7 linked regions of the Mus musculus genome follow. The protein of the gene in region 3 purifies or fractionates together with the protein of the main gene of each other region. This does not show direct contact. Links are inferred from orthologs where the notes say so. Each region holds a gene or a part of one and is shown on either strand. Other genes may lie near its edges.

The links.
Region 1: the proteins of Gdi2 (region 3) and Rab10 purify together in Homo sapiens (co-immunoprecipitation; 3 studies listed by BioGRID and IntAct, with this or other methods). This does not show direct contact. The link is inferred for Mus musculus from reciprocal best matches to the Homo sapiens genes GDI2 and RAB10.
Region 2: the proteins of Gdi2 (region 3) and Rab4a purify together in Homo sapiens (co-immunoprecipitation; 3 studies listed by BioGRID and IntAct, with this or other methods). This does not show direct contact. The link is inferred for Mus musculus from reciprocal best matches to the Homo sapiens genes GDI2 and RAB4A.
Region 4: the proteins of Gdi2 (region 3) and Rab5a purify together in Homo sapiens (affinity purification with mass spectrometry; 3 studies listed by BioGRID and IntAct, counting the BioPlex papers as one, with this or other methods). This does not show direct contact. The link is inferred for Mus musculus from reciprocal best matches to the Homo sapiens genes GDI2 and RAB5A.
Region 5: the proteins of Gdi2 (region 3) and Rab1b purify together in Homo sapiens (affinity purification with mass spectrometry; 3 studies listed by BioGRID and IntAct, counting the BioPlex papers as one, with this or other methods). This does not show direct contact. The link is inferred for Mus musculus from reciprocal best matches to the Homo sapiens genes GDI2 and RAB1B.
Region 6: the proteins of Gdi2 (region 3) and Rab7 purify together in Homo sapiens (affinity purification with mass spectrometry; 3 studies listed by BioGRID and IntAct, with this or other methods). This does not show direct contact. The link is inferred for Mus musculus from reciprocal best matches to the Homo sapiens genes GDI2 and RAB7A.
Region 7: the proteins of Gdi2 (region 3) and Rab8b purify together in Homo sapiens (affinity purification with mass spectrometry; 3 studies listed by BioGRID and IntAct, with this or other methods). This does not show direct contact. The link is inferred for Mus musculus from reciprocal best matches to the Homo sapiens genes GDI2 and RAB8B.

What each region holds. Positions count from the first base shown.
Region 1 is NC_000078.6:3,307,040-3,311,327, forward strand, and holds the start of Rab10 (ras-related protein Rab-10), read right to left. Parts: upstream 2,931-4,288; 5' UTR 2,380-2,930; coding exon 2,253-2,379; intron 1-2,252. UniProt on the Homo sapiens protein: The small GTPases Rab are key regulators of intracellular membrane trafficking, from the formation of transport vesicles to their fusion with membranes.
Region 2 is NC_000074.6:123,826,344-123,830,089, reverse strand, and holds part of Rab4a (ras-related protein Rab-4A), read right to left. Parts: intron 2,767-3,746; coding exon 2,652-2,766; intron 1,095-2,651; coding exon 1,032-1,094; intron 644-1,031; exon of another isoform or gene 76-643; intron 1-75. UniProt on the Homo sapiens protein: The small GTPases Rab are key regulators of intracellular membrane trafficking, from the formation of transport vesicles to their fusion with membranes.
Region 3 is NC_000079.6:3,558,575-3,562,320, reverse strand, and holds part of Gdi2 (rab GDP dissociation inhibitor beta), read right to left. Parts: intron 2,330-3,746; coding exon 2,230-2,329; intron 456-2,229; coding exon 284-455; intron 1-283. UniProt on the Homo sapiens protein: GDP-dissociation inhibitor preventing the GDP to GTP exchange of most Rab proteins. By keeping these small GTPases in their inactive GDP-bound form regulates intracellular membrane trafficking.
Region 4 is NC_000083.6:53,477,714-53,482,255, reverse strand, and holds the start of Rab5a (ras-related protein Rab-5A), read right to left. Parts: upstream 3,023-4,542; 5' UTR 2,648-3,022; intron 1-2,647. UniProt on the Homo sapiens protein: The small GTPases Rab are key regulators of intracellular membrane trafficking, from the formation of transport vesicles to their fusion with membranes.
Region 5 is NC_000085.6:5,098,538-5,101,428, forward strand, and holds the end of Rab1b (ras-related protein Rab-1B), read right to left. Parts: intron 2,262-2,891; coding exon 2,130-2,261; intron 2,036-2,129; coding exon 1,841-2,035; 3' UTR 670-1,840; downstream 1-669. UniProt on the Homo sapiens protein: The small GTPases Rab are key regulators of intracellular membrane trafficking, from the formation of transport vesicles to their fusion with membranes.
Region 6 is NC_000072.6:88,042,273-88,046,774, forward strand, and holds the start of Rab7 (ras-related protein Rab-7a), read right to left. Parts: upstream 2,999-4,502; 5' UTR 2,801-2,998; intron 2,746-2,800; exon of another isoform or gene 2,665-2,745; intron 1-2,664.
Region 7 is NC_000075.6:66,860,463-66,864,208, forward strand, and holds part of Rab8b (ras-related protein Rab-8B), read right to left. Parts: intron 3,022-3,746; coding exon 2,961-3,021; intron 436-2,960; coding exon 375-435; intron 1-374. UniProt on the Homo sapiens protein: The small GTPases Rab are key regulators of intracellular membrane trafficking, from the formation of transport vesicles to their fusion with membranes.

The sequences.
Region 1 (4,288 bases), on a different chromosome or scaffold from region 3:
ACGAGTTGAAAGATATTAATTTTTTTCCTTTGTGACTACCAAAGTTTATGAGGCTAACAGAATTCAAAATCTGCAAAGAGTCAAGTATGAGCTGGACTAAGAATTGTCAGAATTTTGTTCATTTTCTTAGCTTACTTTATTCAAATCTTGTGTCAAAACATCAAATGTTTTTATATCAAAATGTATAAATGTCAGAGGTTATTGTATAATTGTTTAGCAGAGCACCAACAGATATTCAAGCAGCCATTACACACAAGACATATTCAATCCATAAAGCAACTTATTCTGTCACACACCAGTATCAGGAAGGCCATATATTCTGCACAAATCTGCACTGTGTTCCTACAAAGTACCTGGCACCATTGTTAGGTGCTTTGCTCTCGCTGACCTGTATTAATCCTCACAAGCACCATACATGGCATTTGCACTGTCGAATAAGACACTGTAGCCAAAGTTGCAATTCCTGTGGAGCCAGGAATTCAAAACAGCAGGCTGCATGGGAAACAACCCATCTCCCTAAGTCAAAGGACAATGAAGACTATGGATACAAGGAGGACTGGAGGTGTAACTCAGCAGCTTGCCTACCACGCATGAGGTTAGTCAATGCCCAGTACCTGAGGACAGGCAGCTGGGGGGCTAAGTAGCTTTCTTCACCAGGAAACTTTACTTCCTACTTTCACCTACCCGTTCTCAAGAGCAGGTTAAAAAAAAAAGGATCGCACACTAAATTCTCTTTCAAAGAGGCTACCTCTCCTCTGATCCAATTCATACTTGTCTTTCAGACTACGTTTTAAACATCCATGCAAAGCAGATTCCCCATAATTCAGACTACTCCCCTTCCTCCCTCTCCTCACTCTAGTGCTTTGCACACTGTTGTTGCCTTCTTTATCAGAATGCTCAAGGGGTCTATTGTATCGACCACTTATTTTCAACGCTTTTAACAGTGCCTAGAACTTGGTGCTCAATAAATATTTGCTGATCTAGCCACCTGACTGACCCAGCTACACTTCAAAGCAAACTTAGTGCTGTGTAAGTGCTAACCCACTAAGCAGAGGACAAGTTCAAGCTTCGTGATATTTTGACAATCCTGCCCACCAGTAAGGTAAAACAACCTATTTTAAATAAAAATTTGCTCATCTTAATTGCAGTATAACTTAAGCATATTTTGCGAAAATATGCTTAAGCTACTTACAAATATGTCTTAAGGAAATCCTATACTATAAATTGGTTAAAACAAGATTTTCACAATTCTTAAGGAAAACCACTAGAGTCGCTTCTCATCGTGAAGCTAGTTACATTTATCACAAGTTTTCCTGCACTGCTCTAATGCCGGAGCTGAGGTTCAAAAATGAAAGACACCGGATACTTTAAAAAACCAGGGAGGGGGGTGGTCATGTACAGTTACTTTGACAAAATTGATGTTGGTGCCAGCGTCAAAACGACTTTCTTGAAACCTTCCCTTTTCATTTCCGAAACAGGAAACCCATTTAAAAGGTCAGTTTTTATTTCCATACCAAGTAATTCCGAAATATGTGGTAGTACATTAGAAGTCCTTAGAGCCATGACTGACGAAAGATTTTCCTGTAAATTCTAACATCAAGTAAAACATTAGAACTTGACTTGATTCCATTGGGTTGAAAACAGAAACCGTCCATCTGCTTCGTTGAGGTCTTGAAAAAGCACTGTGAGCCAACCATGCCAGATTCCCACCCCAAGCACGAAGGGCCTCCGATTGTTTGACACATCAATGGTTCAGTCAAGACAGCCAACTCACTTTCCCCCGCCCCTCTCATTTTCCTTAATGATTCTGCAACTCTCAAGTTTACTCCAAGTTACAGTCAGATAGAATATTTTCTCTTTGACCCCCAATTCGGGCCTTTGCCACATAGCCAGTACTGCTTCAATCCCAACCACTAAATTACGTCTATTACAAATAGCACATCAAGTAACTTCATGCAATTATGGTAAGGCCAGGCAAGTCACTTAAAGAAACCGGATTCTGGAACGCTGCTAAATGCTGCATATTTTGTGCCAGAAGGCACCGAACAGAGAAGGAGACTTGAGACCGGATGGTAAGCATGGGAAGACCCCGCCCCAGTAAGGCTATTCCGATTCCAACAGTAACTTAGGTCTGTCGTCTGGAATCGGAATCACTGGAACAAAGGCGTAAATTCCGGGAAGCAAGATGTCTGGAATAAAAGAAAACGGCTCGCGGCTACAGAGCCCCCACACCATCCTCCCACAGGTCTTACCTATGGTGGAAATAAAGGTGGTATTGAAGGCATCGTCCGAAAAACGAAAAAGGACGCAGGTCTTGCCCACTCCCGAGTCCCCGATCAGGAGCAGCTTGAAAAGCAGGTCGTACGTCTTCTTCGCCATTGGGAGGAGCGGCTCGGGCGCTCGCCGCCGGTAGCCCCAAGGGATCGGAACTGCTCACTACAACCAACTCCTCACCCGGGCGTTCTGGGGCCGCAGCAGCCGGGTAGCGTGTGCGGAAGGAGAAAGCAGCTCTCGAGACGGAGCAGGAGACCTTCCGAACGGCCTCGTCGAGGAAGCCCCGACGGTGGCGGCGCCCGTGCCTCCGAGGGGCGGCGCCCGCGGCTCCGCAGCCTCTCCCAGCCGCTCCGCCCGGTTCCGGGGAGTCGGTCGGGACAAAATGGCCTCCCCTCCCCCCTCAGCGCAGCTCGGCCGGGACGCTCCCACGGGCGGACGAGCGAGCTCTACGTCGAGGGAGCGCGGCGGGCTTGAACACGGCCTCCGCCCGGAGCAGAAACCCCGCGCTAGGACACGGGCGAGGGCAGCGGGAGGTCTCGCGAGCCGACAAGCCCTGCTACATAACCCCAGGAAACAGAGCCGCCCCGGCCAGAGCCACCTTTTTCCCCGTGCCCTCTCACGCCGGCGTGCGCGCAGCCTGAGACGCACGCAAGGACGTACACCCGCCCTTCTCTCGCGCCCTCGCCCCTGCGGCCCGCCTCTGCGCACGCGCGCGGGCGGGCAAGTAGGGCACGCGGAGGCGGGACCAGAGGGGGCGAGGCCGCGGGCGCGCTCCCTACGGCCTCCTGATTGGGTGAGCGGCTTGACGAACACGCCCCGCGGGGGAGGTGCGGCCCGGGAACTGCGCAGGCGCACTACGTCCGTATAGCTCCTGCCCTCCCTCCCTTGCCTTTTCCGGGGCGCCCAGCTGACTGCTGGAATCCTCTACTCCCTCTCAGTATCCTGTTGAGGAGCTAAGGATGTTAGCCCAGCGACGGGCGTGGCTGGCTGTGTGTGTGTGTGTGTGTGTATAGTTCATATAGATGAGAGAGAAAGAAGTGCTCTGGGCCACTCAGGAACCTCCTTACTAAACCCGGACATCTCCAGAAGAGATCCCGCTTGTGGGCTGGTCCTGACAACCTGGTCTCCTTAAGAAGCTAGAGTTGATAGAGCCGGGATTCCAAACTGAAAAAGGCGCAGCGCTCCTGGGGTTGGAATGATGTCATCGGCCTGAGGAACCCCGGGTGCGGGGAGAACCTCCCTGCGAATGGAAGCTTCTTTGCTGCTTCGGGCCTAAGCAGCCCTTGGAATCCCGGGAGCTGAAGCGCTCTATTCAGAAAAGGCGGGCGGTCACTGTAGCCAAAGTTGTACCACCAAATCGAAAATCTGAAAGCCTGCCCCATCCCAACCGATCTCTTCCTTGCTTTTCACTTGTTTGTAGGTTGGTTGTTTTGTTGCAAAGTCTGTACACCAGTACTGACTTCCAATTCATGAATCTCCAGTCTCAGCCTCCTGAGGGCTACTCTGGTGGGGTAACTCCACCACACCTGTGCCATGTCTTTTCTCTAGTTTTGTCCCTTTTCCCTCTCTCCCTATCAGTTTTATTTACACCTCCCTTTTCTTCCTTTCTATAGTCGAAATAAGCAAATTTCTAACTTACCTTTCTAAGTATGCTCCAGCACCCGCAGAATGTGATGGTAGAATGGTTGAACCTGATGAGCTGATTCACCAATAAGGAGATTTTTATTTAGGTAAATTTTATATACACACACACATAACTAATTAGCATATAACAAATATATAAGCATATTAAATAAAAATAAGCTACACTTTGGCAGACACCTCGCCATCACCAACATGTGCATTTCATGTGTAAGTAAAGCCTTTGATCATGTTCTTTTCTGACCATCTTAGATGTGATCATGCTCTTCAAAGACTTGTCCTCCTTCTAAACACCCATAAGCCTTTGAAGGTGTTTGTGTTCTCTAAACCATCTCCCAGTTGATTCTCTGATTGGTTTTAGTTTTCTCATTAA
Region 2 (3,746 bases), on a different chromosome or scaffold from region 3:
CTCATGGGCTATGTTTAGCTTCTATTACAATGAAACCCTCTGGGTTTCAAAAAAGGGCTTTCCTTCCCTTCACAGATGCACCTGAACCCCGAGTATGTGCAAGATACGTGCCTGGCTTGCAACACTAATCATGGTCACCTGTAGACTTGTGAGCACCTTGACCCATAGGAATCCACCACGACAACTTTGCAAGGACCTCCTGGGGCTTAGGGACACTATGCAGGACTTCCTGGCTTTTGTCTACCCAGGACCAGCTCAGATCTGCAGGTTGGCTCCCACATTTAAGGACCCACACAAGTGATGTCACACCCTGGCAGGTTGAGTCTCTCATGGCACCGGGGGGAATGAGGAGGGTGAAGTCAGGAGTGTCACCCCCTCTCAGAAGAGGAAGGCAGCCATGTTGTTCTCTCCTAGGTCAGGTTCCTCCCAGGAAGGGCCCCTTGGTGGAACCTTTTGGATCACGTGTTTCCAGGACAATGCTGCTAACTCTGAGGTCAGTGGATTGATGAGATTTTCAAGACGGGAGTGTGCTGGGAGCTGCACTGGCCAGTCCTGTGGTCACCAGGCATGTGGGGCATGGAACATTTGAAATGTGGCCAGAGCAACCCAGGAATAAAACTAAGTTGTTACATGTAGCCAGTAACTACAACTGCAACAGTATTTCATTAGTTGATTTAACCACCTCTACGACCCAAGAATTTTACCCTTATGAAGTCCAGGCCTGTAGAGTTTGAAAAGTCATTGGAGCTAGGCTCTGAGCCCACTGATTTGAGCCTGAGTCTGTATCTTCAACCTCTTGATTATGTCTGAGAAGGCACACAGCCTTGTAGACCTTGAGGAGCGTGTCTCAGACAGTGTGAAGGATGAGGCCAAAGGCTTGTTTCAGTCCCAGCACCTCACACATACCAAAGACCTTTATGATCCCCCTGGGTACAGCCATGCTGCCTATCTAGACCGAACTAAATCATATGTCTCGCCAACACAGGGATGCAGAACACCAAGTAGCCTGAGCGACGGGGAGGTGACATTACCTGGTGATGTCATAGACAAGGAGTGCCCCAGCTGCACCTCTGTAGTAGCTTCTCGTCACAGACCTGAAGGAATGACAGGGGCTTCTAACAATCAAGGCCCTTTACTTCTCCCCATAGAAACCATGCTTCCTTTTGAACCACATAGAGCCAGGACACGCAGGGCGCTCTCTCCAAAACAGGGAGAGCTCTGCTGAGCAGCTCTTTAGGTCACGAGGTTCATGGGTCTGCATGTGGCCCGAATGTCCTGAGCTCTCTGTGGGCAGCAGGCACCAGGAGACCCTCACATCTCTGTCCCCTCCCCCACCCCCAGGTGCCCTATGCTGTTCCCTCCCTTCTTCCCAGGTAAAGCCCAAGACAGGAACAGCCTAGATCCCTGCCAGGGGCCACATTTACTTCGACCTACACAACATCCTTCTTCTCTCCTTGCTCTACTGAGGACTGGGTCTCTGTCCACCTCACATTCTCAAGGAACTGGTTTTTAGTATTTTCTCCCCTGTAAAACCAACTGCTCTCTCCCTGCTAGTTTTTTACACTTGATTGTGTGTATGATGTTGGGGTGGCGCAGGTGGGTGCCACGTCATGTATGTGGGAGTCAGATAACTTTGTGGAGTCATCTCTGTACTTCCACCTTTGCATAGTCGGGAGATGGAATTCAGCCTGTCACGCTTGCCCAGCCTTTAGCTGCTGAGCCATCTTGTTAAGTTTTTATACTAGCAGAATAACATTTGCTCTGGCATCACCTGTGGTCTCACACTCTATTGCCCAGGCTGGCCTTGATCCCCTGGACTAGAGCGATCCTCCTGCCTCAACCTCCAAAGTAGCTAGGACTATGGGTACTACCATACTCTATCCCCAAGTTTAATTAAAAAGTGAAAAGCCTGCGTGTGTGGGAGGGTGGGTGGGTGGGGGTTATCGCTTCTTCCACACTGAATCTTGACTCTGTGACTTGGTGTACTCTGCAGAATGCGTGGCTAAAATGTTCACACCCCACTGTGCATTCATTGTTACAGGATGCTGACCACACAACCTGATTAGCAGTGGTCTGGGGTTAAGTCTTTCTGAGTGCCAGTTGTGTGAACCTGTCCTGCAGGATCCATGGCAACTGTCACAGCCTGCTCCAGTCAGTGTAAAGGGATAAAACCCTCCATGGCAGTTTAAAAATCCCTCATAGACGTGTAATATGGGAAAAAGCCACCTGCCTTGTCTTTGCCTTGATTTTAATCTGAAGGCATACTATAGCCCGGATGGTGCTTCGCACCGGTCATCCTGGCATACAGAGCTTGATACAAGAAGGTCGTGGGCATGAGGTCTACCTAGACTGCACAGCGAGATGCTGGCTCAAAATGCCAAACAGACTGAAACCAAAAGCCAACTACACGGATACCCAGTGCCAGTACCGCATCCTCCTGACCGAGTTGCTACCTCTGAGAGTCTAGTCCCCTAGTGATGGTTTGTTTGTTTTGGTATCTGGGATCCAGTCAGGGCCCTCAGACGTGAGAGCGTCCGGATGGAGCTGCAGATTTTGAGTTACGTGTGCATGCTGGTTTGAGACCACACGCAGTGAAGGAGTTGGGCTAAGCCTTCCAAGTACCATTATCAGTAAATAAGAAGGAAAGCTACCTGAACCGCTCCTGGCCGGCCGTGTCCCATATCTGTAACTTTACATATTTACCACCGACATTTATTATCTTTGAGCCAAATTCCACTCCTATGGTATGATTTGAGTCATCTTTGACTAAAAAGAAAAACAAAGAACAAATAATTACACTTTAGAACCTGACTGCAACAGTTCAAGGTTTAAACAGCAACGTTAAGATAGACCAAGGGCTGGAAAACTAATTTAAAAAAACAGTAAAAAGGGAGGTGTTTGGGGGAGGGGAGGCAGGGGCCTGGCAGGTGAAAAGGCGGGTTGCTTCAACCGCCCATTCTCTAATAGTCAGCTGATGGGCCGTACTAAGCATATGACACGATTTCTGTTTTCACCGAGACAATAGAGTTCCTCTGTCTCCTAACACATGGTATGGCTACTGGAAGAGGCTGCCCTGAGCTTGAGATCCCAGACTGTCTGCCGAGAAGACTTGCACCAGCAGCCAGAAACCTGATGGGAACCGGTCTGCCATGTGGTAGGGCATGTGCCTGGTAACTAGCTGGGCACTTGATCAGCAGCAAGGTGGTCAAGTGTTATTCTGGAGCAGAGGAGACCCCAAAGATAACCTGACCATAGCACTCTGATTGGGGTCTGTCTGGACAAATCTTTTTTTTTTTCCCCATTTGGTTCTTTCCTATGTGTATTACCAAGTGTCCATTAGTTCTAGCAGAGCACAGCAAATGTTTCCGTGGGTTTATTGGAGAAACCAGTCCTATCTCTTCTAAACTCATCTGGGGCATGCCATCAGTACAGGATAGCTGTGAGGAAGCCATGACTTCGAGAGAACGCTGCACCTCACTGGCTGTCTCTCAGCTCAGCTCATGCCTGGACACAGCTTCAGCAACCAGGGGTGCTGCATGGTAATGCTTTTTTAAAAAAAGAATATTTGGATGGACAAGAGGTTAGACAGATAATCCAGCCTGCGCCAGAAAGATTCAAGTGTGTGATCAGGTAGGAAGGACCCCCTCCGGCCCCCCCAGCAAACTGCAGAGGGAGGCCTAAGCAGTAATCCAGGCCGACTAAGGTGAGTAATAAGTAAGGTGAGCAGTAATGGGGCGGAGGCTGCT
Region 3 (3,746 bases):
ACACCCCAGGGACACAGACTTGGCTACAACAGAGAACAAGTGAACTAACAAAGCTGGAAGCCCACAGGACTCATCCATGCACTCCAGACATGAAGCAGACATTCCAGGCAGTGGATTCACAAGTGGATTCAGTGCACTTGTATTAGACCACACCTGGCTTCCCTTCCCAGGTCTGCTTCCCATGTCACAACAAGGTCTCTAGTACAGAGTAAAGGCAGGAAATCTGGATGAAAACACTAAGACAGTTCACAAATTCTACCCTCATCTGTCCTTCAAAACTCACCTGACTTGCGGTTGACTTGGTTCTGTGGAATGATGATCTGGCAGGAGTTGGCATCGTTGGTGTTCTTGATAGGGTGGCTAAGGATACAGATCACTCTGATTACCTGGCCCACTTTTTCAACCCGATCTTTTACATAGCTGGGATCACAGATGAGCTGTTTACAGCGAGCAATCTGTGACAAAACATTTAAAGGGTCATTGTAAAGATGTGGAAACATAGCAATATGTATGTCCTAAATTCATGGAGAAAGTTAAGCTCTCTAAATCAATCCTGAAATGTATATTGAACCCTAAAGACTAAACTCAATAAAACAATCTTGAAAAAAGAACACATGTTAAGGACTCCCTTAAAGCCTACAGCAGTCAATACAGTGTGGTACCTGGTATTGGCACACAGAGAAGAGAAGCTAGAAATAAATGTGCATGCTTTCAAGTGGTTTTTCACAAACCAGTTCTGGGACATGGCAAATTTAAAAAACTTGTAGTGCACACCTGTAATCTCAGCACTTAGAGGTAGAACAGAATTTAGAGGACAAACTGTTTATACTTTAGGTCAGCAAGGGCTACCTGCATGAGATCCAAAAACACAGAAAAAAAACATTGCCCTTGTAAAACTATTATTAATACCCTAACAAAATCTAAAACTTAACCCAAAACATAAAGAACTAAAATTCCAAAAATTCTGAAGAGAGGAGATATAAGGTAAAAGCTTCATTTATTATGACGTGAAATTTTAGCACATCAAAGACACATTTGTGTATATCAGTATGTATTAAATTTTTAATTCAGTTAAAAGAAAAGGAAACATGACAAAAAATATTTGCAAATAATATATCTGATAGGGAGTAATAGTCAACGTATTATCAAGAAGTGCTAAAATTCATAAAAATTTTAAAAAAAGACCCGAGTAAAATCAATGGACAGACCGGCAGTGATGGCAATGCCTTTAATCCCAGCAATCAGGAGACAGAGACAGGTAGATCTCAGAGTTTGAAGTTAACCTGATCTACAAAGCAAGTTCCAGGACAGCCGGAGCTATATAGAGAAAGCTGGCCTCAAACAAAAACAAAGGGTAAAGAATAGCTAAATAGCACATCACTAAAAGCACCAGTAATGTGCAAATTAAAAACATAAGACCCCTATTAAGATGCCTACTACCAAAACAGAACGTGATGGCAGGGTTTGCACACTCATGAGAATGGAACATAATACGGTTGATGTCACAGCATGGCAATTTCTCAATCAATAAACAAACAAACAAACAAACAAAATTACTATTTAATTCAGCAGTTCAGCCTCTTGAAATATAAACCAAAAGAACTGACGGCAAGTTTTGAAAATAGTTATTTGTACACCAGTGCTCGCTGGAGTGTTACTCAAAATAACTATTTGGCTAAATTATAATTTAACCAGTGTTTATACTTTTTTCTTTTAAAACAATACTGGACTGAGTCTACATAGTATAAGGTCCTAGATTCTACCCCAAGCACCACCAAAACCAATCTCCAAGCCAACAACTATATCTCTTCATAATAAGTTCATAATTATTGAAATACAGGTAAGCATTTAAATGAGCTTTGCAAATAATAAGTTTCCCTGGGCAGTTGCAAGGTAATCAGAAGTAATTCAAGAGATCATTATTAGATTGCCATATGTGTGCTAGCAGGGAGTAGTATGGCACAGCACTGTAAACAGATGATGCCATCATCTTAAGACTTAGTTATGCAACAAATGTATTACAGCCACTTCGGTTTTGTATCAAAACCCTGAAGCTTCCTAAAGACACCTGTGGGAAGATATAGAAGGAAGAACAAAAAACTGTAGTTAAAAAAAAAAAGAACTTTAAACAATCAGACAGACCCAGAGAGCACACATGTGTATATCCAACATGTAATATCAATGTCCACACCACATTGTTTAGCACATTTTTTCACAATAGTTACTTACCTCTCCTTCGGATTTTACACCAACCACTTTTCCATTTTGCACAATGATTTCTTCAATTGGTTTATTCAACATGTAGGTACCTCCATATATGGCACTTAACCTAAAAAAGTTTTTTTCATCAATTATATTCACAATTATAAGAACTGTTAAAAATCCCCCCCCCCCATTTTTCCGTTTTTCGAGACAGGGTTTCTCTGTATACCCCTGGCTGTCCTGGAACTCACTTTGTAGGCCAGGCTGGCCTCAAACTCAGAAATCCACCTGTCTCTGCCTCCTAAGTGCTGGGATTAAAGGCGTGCGCCACCACCGCCCCGCTAAAATCTCCCTTCTTAAATCTAGATGAACTATAGTATCTACTAATTAAAGGTAGTGGGCCATAAACAAACAGGATATGAAAGTATGAGACAGAATTGCTGGGAAGAAAGGATTTGAGAGGTGGGAAGAAAGGAGATATTGGGAGGTAAATAAAGGCAAAAAAGGGTGACAGATTGTAGATAAAAATGTAAGTATCAGTATAAAAAGAGATCTGAAAATCATGTTAAGCAAAATAGAGACTTAAATCACAGTTATCAAACAGAGGACTTAGATGTGCATACATATATTTCATACATAATGTGACATATTAATAGATAAAAAATGTACATGTGTGCCATATCAAAGTAGAATGTGGTCTCTGTGGGAGAGGAGGACTGAATGGGCAAGGAAAACCCAGGAGAGATTACTGGGAACACAAGAGGAAAGCAGCTCTTTTTTCTTTCATATAAAAAAGAACCACACAGAAAGGGAATAAGTCAATGGTAGAAATCTTGCGTAACCTATAGTAAAGCCCTGGGATCAATTCCCAGTATTATATAAAAAAAGGGGGACCCAAAAACGTGATGAAATTTATGACAAATGAAAATACATCATCCAACCTCAGGAAACACGGTTAACTCCAAGGACCGCACATGAGAGATTACTGCTCATGTGAGCAAACTGTGACCAAGTAGCCAAAGAAATCATGACCTAAAATTCTGATTTTGGCTCTTTTAAAAGTAATCTAAATAATCAAAGAGCAAGACTGTCAAAAACTGAAGAAAACTGGAAAGCCAGATCACTGACAGAAGAGAAAAACCCACAGCTACACACACACACACACACACACACACACACACACACACAAACACAGCTAGAATAACTACATCCCAGGGCCCTGGGGAGAGGCCCAAGCCCTCCAACACTTATGCATCAACTCATTCAAAGTGAATGAGAACAGTTACAGTTACATGAAAAGGCAAAACTGTTGTAAGCAGCCTTTTGTGTCCTTGGGCTACCCAAAGATTTCATAGTTCTCAAAACACATGTAAAATAAGTTTGACATAGTGAGCTTTACAAAATGTAAAACTTCTTATAAAAGGCAAGCCACCAACTGGAAGAAAATACTTGTAGTACGTCGGGTCTGACAAAAGATTGGAACATCAAGATGACCCCCAAAACAAAAACAAAAAACTACCCAAATCTTTAAAACTAGGCAAAAG
Region 4 (4,542 bases), on a different chromosome or scaffold from region 3:
CTCTTATTAATGTATGGAGCCTAGATTGGGGGGGGGGGGGAGCCTGTAATCCCAGCACTCAGAGAACTGGAGGAAGGAGGGCTGTGAAGTCCTTCTAAGGCTAGCCCAGGCTACCAAAAAACTTTGTTTAAAAAAGGAGGAAGAGAAAGACCACTGGGTAAAGCACTTGAAATATAAGCTTAGATTTGGATTCTGGGAAGCACATATGGTGAAAAGGTGAGGACCAAGGTTGTCCCTTTGATCTCCATGAAAATGCTGTGAAATGCACATTCCTTCACACAGGAATACATACACATGCAAACATCACACGCATATACTAAATGTGGGTTATAAGCTTATCAAAAACAAAATATACTAAGGATTTTCTTCCTAAAAAAATCTTTGACCAAAAGCTACACTTAATTTATACTTAATTATAGAAATTTATATTTCCTATAAAATTTGAATTAATACATGGAACACTTGATAATGACAAATTCATTAACGAATATATCCATAAGATCTCCGTGCTATCTGTTTGTTGTTTTAAGACAACGGCTCTCTGTTTAGCCATGGCTGTCCCTGAACTCAGAGATCAATCAGTACATCTGCCTTTGCCTCCTGAGTTCTCTAATTAAAGGTATGCCACACCAAGCCCAGCTCCGTTTTTAAGATACCATCTTCTAGCCTAATCTAGTTACTAGCTTTGAAGAGTTCCTATCTTTACCAATAAATACCAACACATTTACAGATGAAATGTTTGAGCTGCTTCTAACCAACAGCACATAAATAAAACTACCATTTCATCCTGGCATGATGGAGCTTGTCTGTGGTCCTAGAACTTGAGAAGCTGAGACAGAAGCATGCCAGTCAGAAATATTTAGCAAGGCTTGTCTCAAAACAACAGACACAGTGGGCCAAGATTTTAATTCTAGCACTCCAGGGCCAGAAAAAGGTGGATGAATGGCTGTGTGTTCCAAGTTAGCCTGGCCTGCAAAGCATGTTTCAAGTCACCCAGAACTATACTGTGAGAGCTTGTCAAAAGTAATTAAGCAAAATTCCCATTTCTCCCCAATCCATAAAACAAACCAGATTCTGAAGTCTAGTCTCAGCTATGTCAATCTAAGTTTTAATTTTCAAATTTTCTATATTCATTATACCCTAACATTGCACAGCAACTGTTAAGAATTAAATAAGACAACATATCTAGTCTCTGATACAGTGCTTACTAAGTACACAGTGTTTGAAACTGGCAATTAAAATGGCCTCTTGGTGAATTAGTTAATTAATTAATGCTTGTAGATCAATAGACTTCATACAGACTGAAAAAGGCACCAACATACCTTCAGCTTAAATGTTTCTCAATTGTTCCTTACCTATAAAACAGTAAATGACTTATCCAGGACAAAACTTGTTCTGTATTCCTATGGTACTTCCAAAATCTCAGGGAAAACATCGATTCTCACAGAAAATACAAACAAAATTTTGTACTTAGTTTTTAAAAACTGTTTCCTGCCCCACATCCCGATCACATTTTTGAGGGACAGGGACTTGTCGCCTAGGCAAGCACAGGATAGGTTACGGATGGCCTGGACTCCTGATCCTACCTACCTCAGCTTCCAGAGTGCTGGGATGACAGGCGGGGTGCCTTCACAGTCAGTGTCTTTTAAAGTGCAAAGCTACTAAATCTTTTACTTCCAAAGACCTCAAACGGAAATAAGCCCAAGTATAAACCTACACAGGTTGAACATGGTATTAATGTTAAGTGCGAGGGCTGGGGGTGTTCAGTGAAGCTACTGCTCAGTGCACAGAGGTTCTGCACTTATAACTTGTACTTTTATTCCGTCAAAGAAAACTTTTGCATAATATGCATCTCCAATCTTTAAAATAGTTTTTTTATACAGTTAGGAAGTCTTTGATTAAAAAAATTGCACTGAGCCCTTAAATTGTGCCAGGCACTGTTGTGCTGCCTACTTTGTTCACAACCCCACGGGTTCAAATTTTACATTAAGAACGATTCTGGGCAGACCTCAATATTCTGGAAGATGTAACAGTTTTTTTTTTTTTAATTAGTTACGTGCAAGGCAACTGATTCAGAACTTTAAATCCATTTCGGCGAGGCAAAAACTAATATGCCAAGAGTGACAGTCAAAGCTTTAAACTTCTGGAGGCGTTAGGATGTTAACCTGCTCGCACCTTGGCCCGGGCTTCCCACCTCCCACGGAAGGGACCAGAGGATCCCACTACTCGCACAGCCCGGCCAAGCCGGTCAGAGGTAGGCGGAGCTCCCCAATCCCCACCTGCTGGAGGCCTGGGTTCCTGTCTGGAAGAAGCCGAGAAATCAAACCGGGGTGCCGGGGCCAGGAGCTCCGCTGGGCCTGGTGGGCGCGCTCCTGAGCCACCCCCGTCACCCCGGATGCGATCCGGCTCAGTAGCCGGGACAGAGCCCCAAAGACCGGGCTGGAGACCGCCAGGGCCCCAGGCTCTTCCCACGGCGCCATCTTGTGAAGGGAAGAGGGTGCCACCCGCCGCTCCCTCAGAGGATTCCCCACGTCCCAGGCCCCGAAGCTGCTAGAAGAATGAGTCACTAAGCGCTGAGGGCCCGCGGCGGCTTGGAGGCCCCAAGCCCGGCCCGGGACCACAGGGACCCGCCCCGACGGCGGCTTACCTGGGCCGCGTCTCCCGGCAGCGAGGCCACGCACGGCCCGGCCCGGCCCGGAGATCGGATGCGCCGCGGCTGCAGCGGCGGCGTCGCCTGCTCGCTCCTTCTTCTCACCCTGGCCGGCGCGGGACTCTGAGCGCCGCCCGCCGTGCCGCCGCCCCTGCCGGGCTGCGTCTCCGCCTCTCCGTTCCGCCTTCCTTTCTCCTCCTCCTCCAGAGTCGCCGCGCTCGAGTTCCGAGGACTTCTTCCTCGTCGTCGTCGTTCTCCTCCTCCTCCTCCCTCGGTCTCCTCCCCTCAGACCGCCCCGGCTCCTCACGAACCAAAACACAAACACTCGGGCTCCAGCGCAGGAACTGCTTCCGCCGGCTCCGCCACGTAGCCGCACGCAGCGAAGAACGCCGTGACGTCATTTCCGCCGCTGCCCCTCCCAGGAGGCCGGCAGCGGCTTCCTAAGGGGGCGGGGCCGAAGTCACGTGACATCCCCGGGTGCGCTAAGGGAGAATAGTTCGGCCCTCTCTAACGCCTCCTTGATCTGAACCGACATCTTTGGGCTCCGGCTGCAAGGCGAGGCAGGAGCGTCAGGAATGAAGAGGGGGGCGTGGGGTTGCGTCACGTGTCTTCTCCAATTCCCTGGGGCCAGACCTACTCACTTCCTTGCTCTGCCTTCCTCCTCCCCGGGGCTCCACCCTCAGTACCACCATTGTTATCTGGGTGGCGGCGCTCTAAGCCGGCGGGTTGGGAACCCGAGAGGCGTGGGCCAGACCTGCGTTTTATGGGTCTCATCGGAGCTGACAGGGTCCCCACTGCCATTGTCAGCCTGGGTTGTCTTCCCATTGCGGCGATTTTCGGTCTGATGGTTCACTCACAGGCCTCTCACACCACTTCAGCAGCTCAGTAAAGGGGTTTAGGCGAGCGAGGGCTCCTGTGGCTCTGGAAATGCCCTGCTTTTCCGAGAATGGGCGTGTCTGTGATCTCGGAGAGAATTAAGACCCTTAAATTCAAAAGCTGCCTTTAGACAGCAAACCTCAAAAGAATAACTTGCTTTTATTGAGAGTTTACCTGTGTGTGTGGTTTTTTGTTTTGTTTTGTTTGTTTTTTGAGTGAAAAGGAGGAAATCCTAATAATTAGCGTTTATTTGGAATTCCCCATTGAACTAAGTAGTAAACATTTTGGAGTGATCTCTCTCTCTCTCTCTCTCTCTCTCTCTCTCTCTCTCACACACACACACACACCCATTGATAAGCACAGTTGATAAGCACACAGAGTCCTGGCATGTTTGTGGAATGAATGAGGGAGGCAAATAATTTGGCCACGATCACAGGTTAGATATAGTCTAGCCTGCAGCCGGCTCCATAACACTAGTTCTTAAGATTCCAATGAACAGCAGCCCAAGATGTTTATGGCTGCCCACAGCACACCTATTTAAGACGTTCCCTTGATCCGCATAGGTCCAAATACTCCACTCCCCTAAATTCTGGCACTGGTTTCTATCAAAAGAGTCATTCCTTGTCTCTGTCAGAAAGGTTCTGTGGTGCCTATTAGCATACCAAAACACAAGGCTAGCCTTCTGATTTACTCAGTACCTGTGGCTCTTCTCACCCCACTTCCTACCCTAAACTTCTCCAAGTCATGAGCTTCCCTCTTCTAGTTTCTCATTCCCATGTAACCCTACTATTTGACTCTCTCTCTCTCTCTCTCTCTCTCTCTCTCTCTCTCTCTCTCTCTCCCTCCCTCTCCCTCTCCCTCTCTCCTTCCCGCTCCCCTCTCCTGTGGCCTCCTTTGCTCCTTTGTCTTCCTGTCTCACTACCCCATCCCACCCCATGGCCATGTCCAGTCTACACTTTTCTCTCCCAGCTCTGGATTTTTCCAGATGCCTCTGGCTGTACTTTCCCTCATACCTA
Region 5 (2,891 bases), on a different chromosome or scaffold from region 3:
GGCGGGGCGGAGCCGGGGGCGGGGCCGCCGTGCAGCGGCCTCGGGCGGGGCTGAGACTCAGAGCGCCCCTCCGCCAGCCTCATCAGCCCAGCACAGCCACTCACCCCAATGAGCCCAGTGTTTGTGCACCTCCAGAACATGCAGACCTGGAAGCCCGTTCCTGGTACAACTTTCGGACAACTAAGCCCACTATAGCCACATTCTGTACTCCCGTCTCCACAGAGTGCTGGCTCAGGGGGATACAACTGAGGTCCTAATGTAAAGCAGCGCTTGTCAAAGCTCAGGATAGCTGGCATCTGGCTTCAAGCCACAAGAGGGGACTAAAGTCGGGGACTGGAGGAGGGGAAGACTAAATGCAGGGGGACCAACGCCTGCTCCTTGCTTCTAACTTCATGCCTTGAACGCCTGTCCCAGTGGATGTTGGTGGCTCACCTGACGGCCTCCTGCCAGCCTCCCTCTGACAGATTCATGCTGGGCCCTTGGGGACATCCCATAGCCGCACAGCAGGCTTTCCCAGCCCCAGTATGTGGGTCAAGGGCTTTTACCAGCAAGCTTAAGATACAGTCCAAGCCAGGACCCCCCATGCATCACACCAAACTCTGGACTCCAGTTCCACCCAGCAACTCAAAGCTGACTCTGACCATAGACCACACTCAGTCACCACCGCTTCCTTGCAAAAACCCTTGGCTTATCCAAGGGCCAGTGGAAATTTATTTTTTCATCCTTTTCCATCTTCCCCCAAGTGGCTTTTCCTTGCAAGATGCCTGATGTGACATCAGAGGGGAACCTGGGAGAAGAGGCTCCCTCCCAGAGGGGCAGCCCAGGGACTTAAATACACACTGGAGGGGGAGGACAGGTTGTAGGGTGAGACTGGCAAGAGACAGCACAAAGGACATGGCTTCTTAGGTAAAGACCAAAGGTTTTCTACAGGAAGCTGTGCCAGAGGGTGGGGGCCAGGATTCTGAGTTGGGAGGGGGAAGAGCCCCACAACCCCAAGCTGCACCCACATTCCCCAGAGAAGCAGGTCTGGCCCTGTCAGGCTCTGAGGAATGGAGGAAGAACAAGCCAGATGTGCTGCCTCGGAAAAGGGAGGTGGTGCTGGCAGAGTGAGGGTTAAGGCTGGTGCCCGGCCTTTGGCAAGGTGGGCCTTCCGCCTCCGCTTTCCTCAGGGACAAAGGGGCTCGGTGGGCAGGCAGCACATGGGCCTGGCTCAGGCAGGGCAGGGGGAGGCAGGAGCAGGCTCCCTCCCGGCTTGAGACACAGGCCCCGCAGCCATCCGCCCACCTACCCTAGATGTGCTCAAGACCTAACCGCAGCTGGACGGCTCAAGCTGTGTGGGAGCGATGGAGTGAGGCAGAGATGAGGAAAAGGTGGCTATGGGGCTCTCGCAGCCCTGGCACCTGTCCTGAGGTCCGATGCAGGACCCTGGATCTGAGGCCCTGGATCCCCTGGCTACTGCCTGCACCCAGGGGCAGCAGAGGCAGGGAGGCCCTTGCTATTGGGAAGAAAGGAAAGAGAAACCCAGTGCAGCATACATGGGGGTGAGTGACAGACAGCGGAGCCCTCATTCCAAAGAAAGGTGCGTGGTGGGCATCTTTTCAAGGTACCCAGAGGCAGCAGCGGAGCTGTCCCTGTGACCACCCCAGCCACAGGCTCTGCATGTCCTCCACGGGGGCCCTGACAGGACTGGGACTCAGAGCAGAAGGCAGATGGGCCAGAGGAAGATGGGGAGCCCAGGACACCCCAAAGCTACAGACTCAAATGCCCTAGGAGAGGGAGGCACTTCCTGCCCGCTCCAGGGGCATCATCTGGACAAGGTGCCCTCCCCCAAGTGCCCCTCCTAGCAGCAGCCACCGCTAGCAGGCTTCACAGGGGTGCTGTCGATCTTCAGGTTGGGCCGTTCACCCCCAGACGCTGCTCCTGGCCCCATCCGCTTTTTGATCTCTGCAGCCATTGTCATGAATGCCTGCTCAACATTGGTGGCATTCTTGGCACTTGTCTCGAGGAAGGGGACACCCAGAGAGTCTGCAAATTCCTGCGAAGGGAAGAAGAGAGAGAGGGGAGCAGGGAGAGAAGGGGTGAAGGCATGTGGGCCCCAGACCCCTGACAGCCAGGGCAGGCCTGCTCACCTTGGCCGTGGTGTTGTCCACGACCTTCTTGGTGGTGAGGTCACTCTTGTTGCCTACCAGGAGTTTATTGACATTCTCACTGGCGTAGCGATCTATCTCCTGCAGCCACTGTTTCACGTTGGCGTAGGACTCCTAGGCACAGTGTCCAAAGTTACTGCACACCCACACCCAGGTCAACCCAGGTCTAGAGAACAGGACTCCTTTGAAAGGCAGGCCCCGAGCACGGGGATTCTGACAAAGTCTCTCCCCCACCCCAAGCCCAGGTTTAGCTTTCCCCTGGTTCTCTCCCATGCGGAAACCTGAAAACCAGAAGCAGAGTGGAGTAGTGCCTGCCAGTGGCCATCACCTCAACAGCCGCCTGCACCTACAGTCATTGCTGCTTCCTGCAGTTCTTTCTCCCTAACCCTCTCCTGGGAAGCCAAGGACATCAGAAGAAAGGCAGGTGACACCAGGCATGACTGATGCAGGAAGATCACAGGTTTGAGACCAGCCTAGGGTCTCAATGAGACCCTCTCAATGAGACCTTCTCAAAATAAAAGGAAAAGGGGGGCTTGGAGAGATGGCCCAGTGGTTAAGAGCACTGGTTCAACTCCCAGTACCCACAAGGCAGCTTACAACTGTCTGTAGCTCCAATTCCAGGGGATCTGACACCCTCACAGACACACATGAAGGCAAAACCACCAATGCATATAAAATACAAATAAGTCATTAAAAATAATGAAAAGGAGGCAAGCATGGTGGTGCACGCCTTTACTCCCAGCA
Region 6 (4,502 bases), on a different chromosome or scaffold from region 3:
TTACTGACAAATGTAAAAGTATTACTAGTGCAGACCTCTCTGAAGACAGAGTAACAGCATAGCCAATGCTCAAACTTCCTTGCCTCATTTGGTGGTGGAGCCAGAAACTGATTCACAACTCCTTTCGTACAAGGACAGCTCTTACAGGGTTAGGATCTCTGAATATGAACCACAACTGACACCAAAAAAAAAAAAGAAGGCAACCAGGAAAGTCACCATGTGGTTGTCAGCAGTCACCTGGAAGACTTCACTAATAAAGCTATTTTTAGAGCGCATGCCAGTTCCACCCTCCTTCCTTTACTCCTGAGGTTCTACCTTCAGTGTAAAACCTGGGCCCCTGAATGGAGGGAACCAGAGAGCCATGGCAAGCAGAGGACACAGGGCTTCTCCAGCATGCATCACTAAGTCTAGCAGAGCGACAGTAAGCTTTCTTGTCAGCTAAAAAGGAAAACCCATCCTCTGCTCCCACATGACAGTGCACTGGACGAAGTGGCATCTAATTCCCTTTGAGAGAGGGCAAAAAATATCATACAACAAAAAGGGAATCACGTTTAGTGCTGGTGGTTACTCTTTAAAAGAGGTGATCAGACTATCACCAGACTATGGCCCTCTCTTACAGGAGCAAACCTAATGCTGACAGAGATGGGGGCTGAGGTTGGCTCAGTTGTCGGACAGACAAGTGTAAGGACCTGAGTACAGATCCCAGGACCCACATTTAAATCAAGAAAAAGAAAAGGAGAGGCAGGCAGATTTCTGAGTTCGAGGCCAGCCTGGTCTACAGAGTGAGTTCCAGGACAGCCAGGACTACACAGAGAAACCCTGTCTAGAAAAACCAAAAAAACAAACAAACAAACAAACAAACAACCCAAAAATGAAGGAAAAAGAAAAAGGGTAGGTTCAGAGGCATCTGCAACACCCTCGGGCACGTGCATGCGTGTGTGCACGTGTGTGCATGCGTGTGTGCACGTGTGCGCATGCGTGCACTCACTGGCTAGCCTGCTAGCAGTGGATAGGCTCCAGGGTCAGGGAAGAGACCCTGTCTTCAAAAAGTAAATAATTAAAAATTAAAAAGGCGAGCAGTAAAGTAAGACACCCAATACCCACCTCAGGCCCACACAGATGCACATGTGCATGCATACACAACACACAAAGAGTTGGCAAATATTTCAAGTAGTTAGCCAGAACAATACACATCTGGATATCTGATTCACCTGAGGGAATAAAATAAAATAAAAACTACTTTTTGCAGAAGCCTCCGATTCTTTCTACATCCGAGTCATTCCTTCCTAAACAGCTCCTGGCTCTGAGACTCATCATTTTACAATTCTCTGAGGACACAACCCAGCCATGCCTTCTTCCCTGAGTCAGGACCCAGTAATGCCTGACACACATGTGGAAGAAAAACATCTCCCAAATGAAGGTGCCAGCCACTTGTCTTCTCCAGCCTCTGCTCACACATGACAGTGCACTGGACGAAGTGGCATCTAATTCCCCTCGAGGGAGGACAAAAATATCATACAACAAAAAGGGAATCACGTTTAGCGATTCCTCTTCTAAACTCATTACATAGGTTTACAGCCCGTAAGTATACCAGGCCGGGTAGCAAACTAAACTATTGACAACCAAGGACACCAAACTTTAGTCTGGCCAGCTTCAGAAGTAGTTATAATTCACTTTCCAGTTCTTACACTCAATTCTGATCCAATATTACCAAGATCGAAGAGAAATATGCCAACAAGAGATTTTATTAACTCAATCATGTGGGTATCAGTTGCTGAAGTCACAAGAAAGAGACAAGAGTTTATTCTTTGGAAAACCAAAAACACAAGATTTTCAACGGTGAAGAGTCAACAGGTTAGGTTGTTGTAGAAATTCTTGTAGAAAGGTGCACACAGTAGGCATGCCAGACCTGACTCAAGGAAAAGAGCTGGCTAAGAAACCTATTCAAATCCAATACATACCTTGCCAGAATTCAAGATCTTCTGGTTTGATGACACTACACTACCTTATATGCCTTGTAATATGCCTTGTAAGTCACAAGTACAAATACAACATGGCTTTAAGGTAGGACTAAGAGGCTCTCAAATGACATCACTAGACAGGAGGTGGAGGGGGGTGCTGATGGCAGATAACAGGTGGCAGGCTTTGGGGGCATCTAAAGTACAAGAGGCCAGAGGCCAGTAAGTGCTAAGTAGTCTAGCTGCCTATGTTTCAACCTCTCACTCTGAAATTTATCAGCGGTGTGACCTTGGTCGAGTGCCTTAGCCTCTCTGTTCTTCGCTTTCTCTGTAAGTAGGCACTGCCTCGGTGCTTCGGAGGGGCTGTTGGGAGAACAGGGCAATTTGTGCGGTCTTGCCACGCAGCCCAGCAGCCGAGAAATCTCAAATCTTCACAACCTTACTCTCAACATCGGCACGATTATGAGCCAGGAGGACATCAGGCCATTTGAAAGGCACTCGGGAGGTCCTTCTTCCCGGAACTTCGGAAACGGGATTTACCCTGCAGGACCCTGAAAGCTCCTGTCTCCCAGTGCCGGCGGCGGGCCGGGGCATGTGACGCGCCTGGCAGCACTGCCTCGGTGGCCGGCCGGCCGGTAGCTCTTCCCACCCAGCAGGTTGCCGGTGGGGACGCGCCCAGCCCGAGGATCCCGTACCCGCCACCCACCGATCGCCGATCGCCCTCCGCCCGCCGGGCGCCGCCCCGCCTGGCCCGGCCCAGCTCGGCGCTCGGCTCGCCGAGGACGCCAGGCCCGGAGGCCCAAGCGGCGGCGGGGGAAGGGCGGCCGGGGCCCGCTGCTCACCGCAGGGTCAACGGAGGAGGAGACACAACGCAGGCCGCAACAGAGACGTCCGATTCCGGCTCCAGCAGGCTCCTCGGAGCTGCCCGGCCCCAAACACCGCCGCCAACGCCGCCGCCTTGGGCTTTATGGTCAAAGCTCCGGCCTTGCTTCCACTTCCGCCACCGCCGCCGCCCCGAGCGGAAGTGTCTGTCACGAGACGCCCGACGCCAGGGTTGGAGGGAGGAGCCCCACCTCCACCTTGCGTCACGTTCCGGTCGCGTCAGGCCCTAGCCTGGCATCTGGGGCTTAAATATGGCCGTTTCTAGATGGGGGCTGCCATCTTTGAAGGCTGTGCAGAAGCTGGAGCGCACCATATTGGGCCAAGAACTGATAATGCAGTGGTGTCCCCCCCCCTCATCCCACCCCGCTCCTATAAACAGAGCTAAAGGAGGGAGAGTCACTTGGTCTTTCCAGAGTGTCCCCCTCTGGAACACGCTAGTCAGTCAGCCATGTATCAGGCAGGGTATAGTCTAGGGTCTTCTGAGTCCACTGGGTACAATCTCTAATGTGGATGGAAATGATCAGTTACAGTGTCCCCAGTGTTGGAGACCCAGTGATGAAATAGGAGCTACCTGTGCAGGGCAGATGGTTCAGGAAAATGGAAAGAGAGCTAAGGAGTTGCTGAACTGAAGAGACATGAGGCTGATTTTAGTGTCACGCCCACCAAAACTAAAACAAAGGCCTAATCCATCAAAGTCCATATCTTTCTGGGGAAGTCTCAAAATGTACTAACCTTGCTTTTTAGCTTCTGTAGTTCTGTTTATGGCTGACAGTTCTTGTTAACTGAAGTATGTCAACCCAGAACATGTTTTTTTGTGTGCTTAAAAGCTCACCCTGAGAAAGACTCAGGTTGTCCTGGGGTATTGAACACCCAGTGCAGTAACCAGCTGCCATTTCTTAGCTTAAACCCATATCTGAGTAGTCTTTTCTGGTGAATACCCCACAACACTAGTACATGTTCTAGCATATAAGGAATAGAGAAGGTTTGTAGGTCCTAAGGAATAGGGGAAAACAAGACCTTTCTGCCAAGATCCTCACCATTTGATATAATAGACACACACACAGGAGTTTGCTCAGTTTCAATCATTAGTTAATTATTACTTGGCCATTTGACTGAATACTTTGAAACTAAGATATGAACAAAGGAAGTCTATGTATATTCATATGCAAAGTGAAATCTTCAAGAAATATGAAGTGACAAAGTAGGGTGCAAAGATGTATATGTGACAGTTCTTGGTTCTTGTTGGGGAAAAAAAAAACACATACTTGCTGGGTACAAATTTCAGCAACTAGTTATCTGGGTTATCTATTAAAATTTGACCGGATAGTAGGACCCATATGAATCTGGTGGTCCAGTCAGACTTTCCACAGTTGTAGGGATGCAGGAAGCTGGTTCAGGCCCTGTCTCTCTACCTCATGTTGGATATAGCATCAGCCTCCACATGGCAGATAGACCAGCAGTTTGGAAGCAAAGCTGCATGTGGCTAAGAGCAGTGATACACTAGACCCAAGGAGGAAAGTGGGAGACAACTATGAGGCCCAACAGGAACTGTGTCTGCTTTTCATCTCTTCTGACTTTAGTTCCCCTAGAGTAACTCACAGAGCAGCCAATGCCCTATTCTAACCTCCACGGGCACTGCATGCACAAGTTGTCTTTATATAC
Region 7 (3,746 bases), on a different chromosome or scaffold from region 3:
GTGTCTAGGAAGCATGAATGGAGACGGCAGCTTCCTCATCCAGATGTTTACTGCCTGAACTGCTCTTGTAATGCTCCCACCAAGACAAGCTAGCCCCAGTCTTCCGTCCATAATCAGTGCTCTGAATGTCCTGTGTAAGTGCTGCTCTATCAAAGTAAGCAAGAGTCACCGCTCCCAGCTTTTCTGTTGGTGTGTCTGTATGTCTGTCCTTCCTTCATTCCCTCATTTGCACCATCAGGTTTCCAGGACCAAGACGGCCATGCTGAATGCAGTGGTCCTAGGCTCAAGCTTCATATCCATAGACAGGCAATGAATAGCCCTGTTTCCCTGTTTTATTTTCACCTGAAAGGTTAGAACCTTTGAAACACACTCACCATGGCTCCTCTATAGTATGCTGTCGTAATTGTTCGGAATCTTTCCTGGCCCGCCGTGTCCCTAAAACGTGAAACAAAGAAAGGAAAGAATGGTTTTAAGTTACCAGCCACACGGGTAAGGACCCGAGTCACAGCAGATAAAATTCTGATCTGCCCACAGTTTACTGAGGCAGGGGAAAGGAGAACGCACACAAAGATGGCACATCGTGCCTTGAGAGCTGGAGGCAGCAGTGGCCACAGGAGCCTGTCAGAACTCACAAAGACTTGGATGAAAAACTCGGACTTGTTATAAAAGCAGCAATGAGATCCCACTAGGAACTGGGCTATGGGAGGAGGCAGAATGGCTCTAAATTCTTGGACTCCCAGAGGCAGCGATAACCTATCTATAAGTGCTACATTAGAGAGCCATTTTGCTTTCTTGACTGCATGGGTGATTTCAGTACAAAGCACACTGCTGAATGACTACATGTATTCTGCTCAGCAGAGCAGAACAAACTATGTCTCTTCTAGAGCACTTTCAGAGCACAGCCTGCAGTTAATTACAGAGGAACCTGGAGTCCAACATCATTCTCCAAGTTTCTAAAGAATAAACATAAACATCTTGGAATTACACAATCTTTCAGCTACCCTTCCTTTTTGAGCTGAGGGCATACCGTTAAAATATGCAGGATTCTAGGATGGGAGTGTGGCTCAATAGTAGGGCACTGGCCTAGCAAGGCCCTAGGTTCAGTCTCTGGCATTAATCCAGGGCTTTGTGAGGGGGAGCACATGTGTGCTTCACACTGACACACTCCAAGAAATACGGGCATTTCTAATTAAATTCATAGCTTCAATCACACAGAAGAATCTCCTTGATATTGGGAGAAAGTCATTTGTTTTAATTTTCCATTTATAGCCGGAACTAATTCACTTCCTGTGATACTAAAATAAACTAAATTATACAATTTAATTGCAAAGAACAGAGAGATTTGTGGAACTATATTAAAGATCTAATATACAGTAAACCCCACCAAAGGATAAAGGTTCAAGGAAATATAGCCAATTAAACAGCAATTATCTTCATATTTATATCTACTTTATAAAATACTTCCAAACATGATGCCTCCACAGCCCAGAGTGAAGTGGGTGATATTATCATCTTTACTCTGTAAAAGATGCAGCAGGCTCAGGAGAACTATGGCCTCATCTTTGCCACTAAACAGCTCTCAGCCTTGAGTGAGACTCAAACAGTGCAGGTCTCAGCTGTTGGGCACCAGGATGAGACTCACACCAAACCCAGATCTTGTTATTCTCTTCCCTATCAGCATTAGAAATGTGACGAACTTATTTTGTGCTCAGCAACAAGGAGGAACAGAGAAACCAAGCACCTTTGAATGGATTAATCATATTTCCTTGACTCAAATACATTACTGATTTAGAAACAGCATATACATGCACACACTTACACACACACACACATATACACACACACACAAATATAATTAAAAAAACCTTTAAGGTTGAATGTGTTTCTCTGAGTTCTGTGATGGAACAGGGGGTGTGAATGGCAGTAACAGGTGACAACTTACTGCTTGCAAGTAGCATCCATATCCGTAGTATATGGCAGTCTGTGGGATTGTGCCCTCGACTTTTGATAGCTGATGCTATCTCTAAGTGAACAGTGCCAGAATTGAGTTAAGTCATGGAACGCCTACATAGTATCGTTTGGAGAACTGCTTAGGGTGGGCATAGAGGGTATGCCAAATACCTTGGATACATTTGGTATCCAAAATGTTTAAATATTTTTTAAAACTCACAGTACTTATTTTTTCCTTATTTCTCCATTAAATAGGCCCTACTTGATAAATTATAAAATAACAGAGCTATCGAACCTTCAATCTCATCAATCCAGGCTCATTTATAAGTGAAAAAAAGGCAGAGCCTGAGAAGGTGCAATGGTTTGGAGAAGTTTCTCCTGCAGGTCTTAAAGGCCTGGTCTTCGGGGCAGTGGAATCTTTGGGGGCTGGGCTGAGTGGGAAGTCCTGAGGTCATTGGGAGCATGTTCTTCAAGTGGATTGTAGGGCCCTGGGCCCTTCCCCATGCTCTGCCAAGCACTCCCTGCCACTGCCACCCAGCCCCTCATCAGAGACCCAAACCAATGGTCTCACCTAATCTAGGTCCAACTGGGAGCCCAAGCAAAGCATCTCTCTTCATAAATGCAGTGTCTCACACGTTCTGTGACACTGTGTTAGGGATGGACATAAAAGCAAGTACTTTCCCCAAAGTCCTCAATTTACAAGGCTGTGGCTTGACTTTCAGACCCAGGCCTGACTTTCAGCCCAGGGTCTGTACCATTTTGCTGTGTCTGAGTCACAGCTGTGACTACAATGAAGGAGTGTATGCTTTTGAGAATCCGTTTTTTTGGTTTTTTTCTTGTCCAGAGCTTAGAACAGACGGGCTCTGGACTTCCTTCCCACTCTGGTTTTCCAAAGGAAAGGTCTGAATGCCTGGATGATGTTTCTAATGTCTTGAGTCACATTTTAACCTTAGACTTCCAATTCCAGGAGATATTCCACAGGCCTTCATTTTTTTTTTTTCTTAACTTACCATATCTGAAGTTTAATTTTCTTTCCGTCGAGTTCTATCGTTCTGATTTTAAAATCAATTCCTGCCAGAAAACAAAAAAGGATATGCTAAGTTCCTTAAATTCAATCCAAGTCTTATTAGGGAGGGAACAAAGATTTCTATTGAAAAAAAAAAAAAGCTCTCCAACGCACTGGAAAATGTGAGCGCACAGAGGGTGTGAATGGCATGTTTCCTCTGAATTCAGGCTGGAGAAAGGAATGCTAGTCACTCTGCAAAGCATTCCCACACATGTGAAGTGCAGGATTACAGGCCTCATTATTTGGGCACAAATGGACCACATCCTTCAGAGTTACATAATTCAGAAGGACTGAGAACATAACATATTTTCTCCTTCCTGAAATACATACACACAATATTTTCAGTCCTAGTGCCCCAACCTTCCCTACAGAAGACTGTAGAGACTCTTTAAAACAATTTTCTTCCCCTCCCTTCATTTATTTTGTTAGAACCTGCCCACTTAGGAAAAAGAAAATGAGACTCTGCCCATTTGATGTCCAGGGAGGGAAAGCTGATTCTATTTTATACAGTTAGCAGGGACTCCATATACATCTCAATTAATGTTCCCTGAGAGTTACTGCCTAGAACTGAAATGGCTAAAATGCTTTTTAGCCCTGGCCACATTTTGGAATTCCAGAGAGAACAACAACAACAACTCTCTTGACTAGGCCTTCCTCCTCCCTAATCCTGAGACTGACTTAGCTGGTTAGTCTGGTTAGCTGGTGATTTTCAAAGCTCCCTGAGTAATTT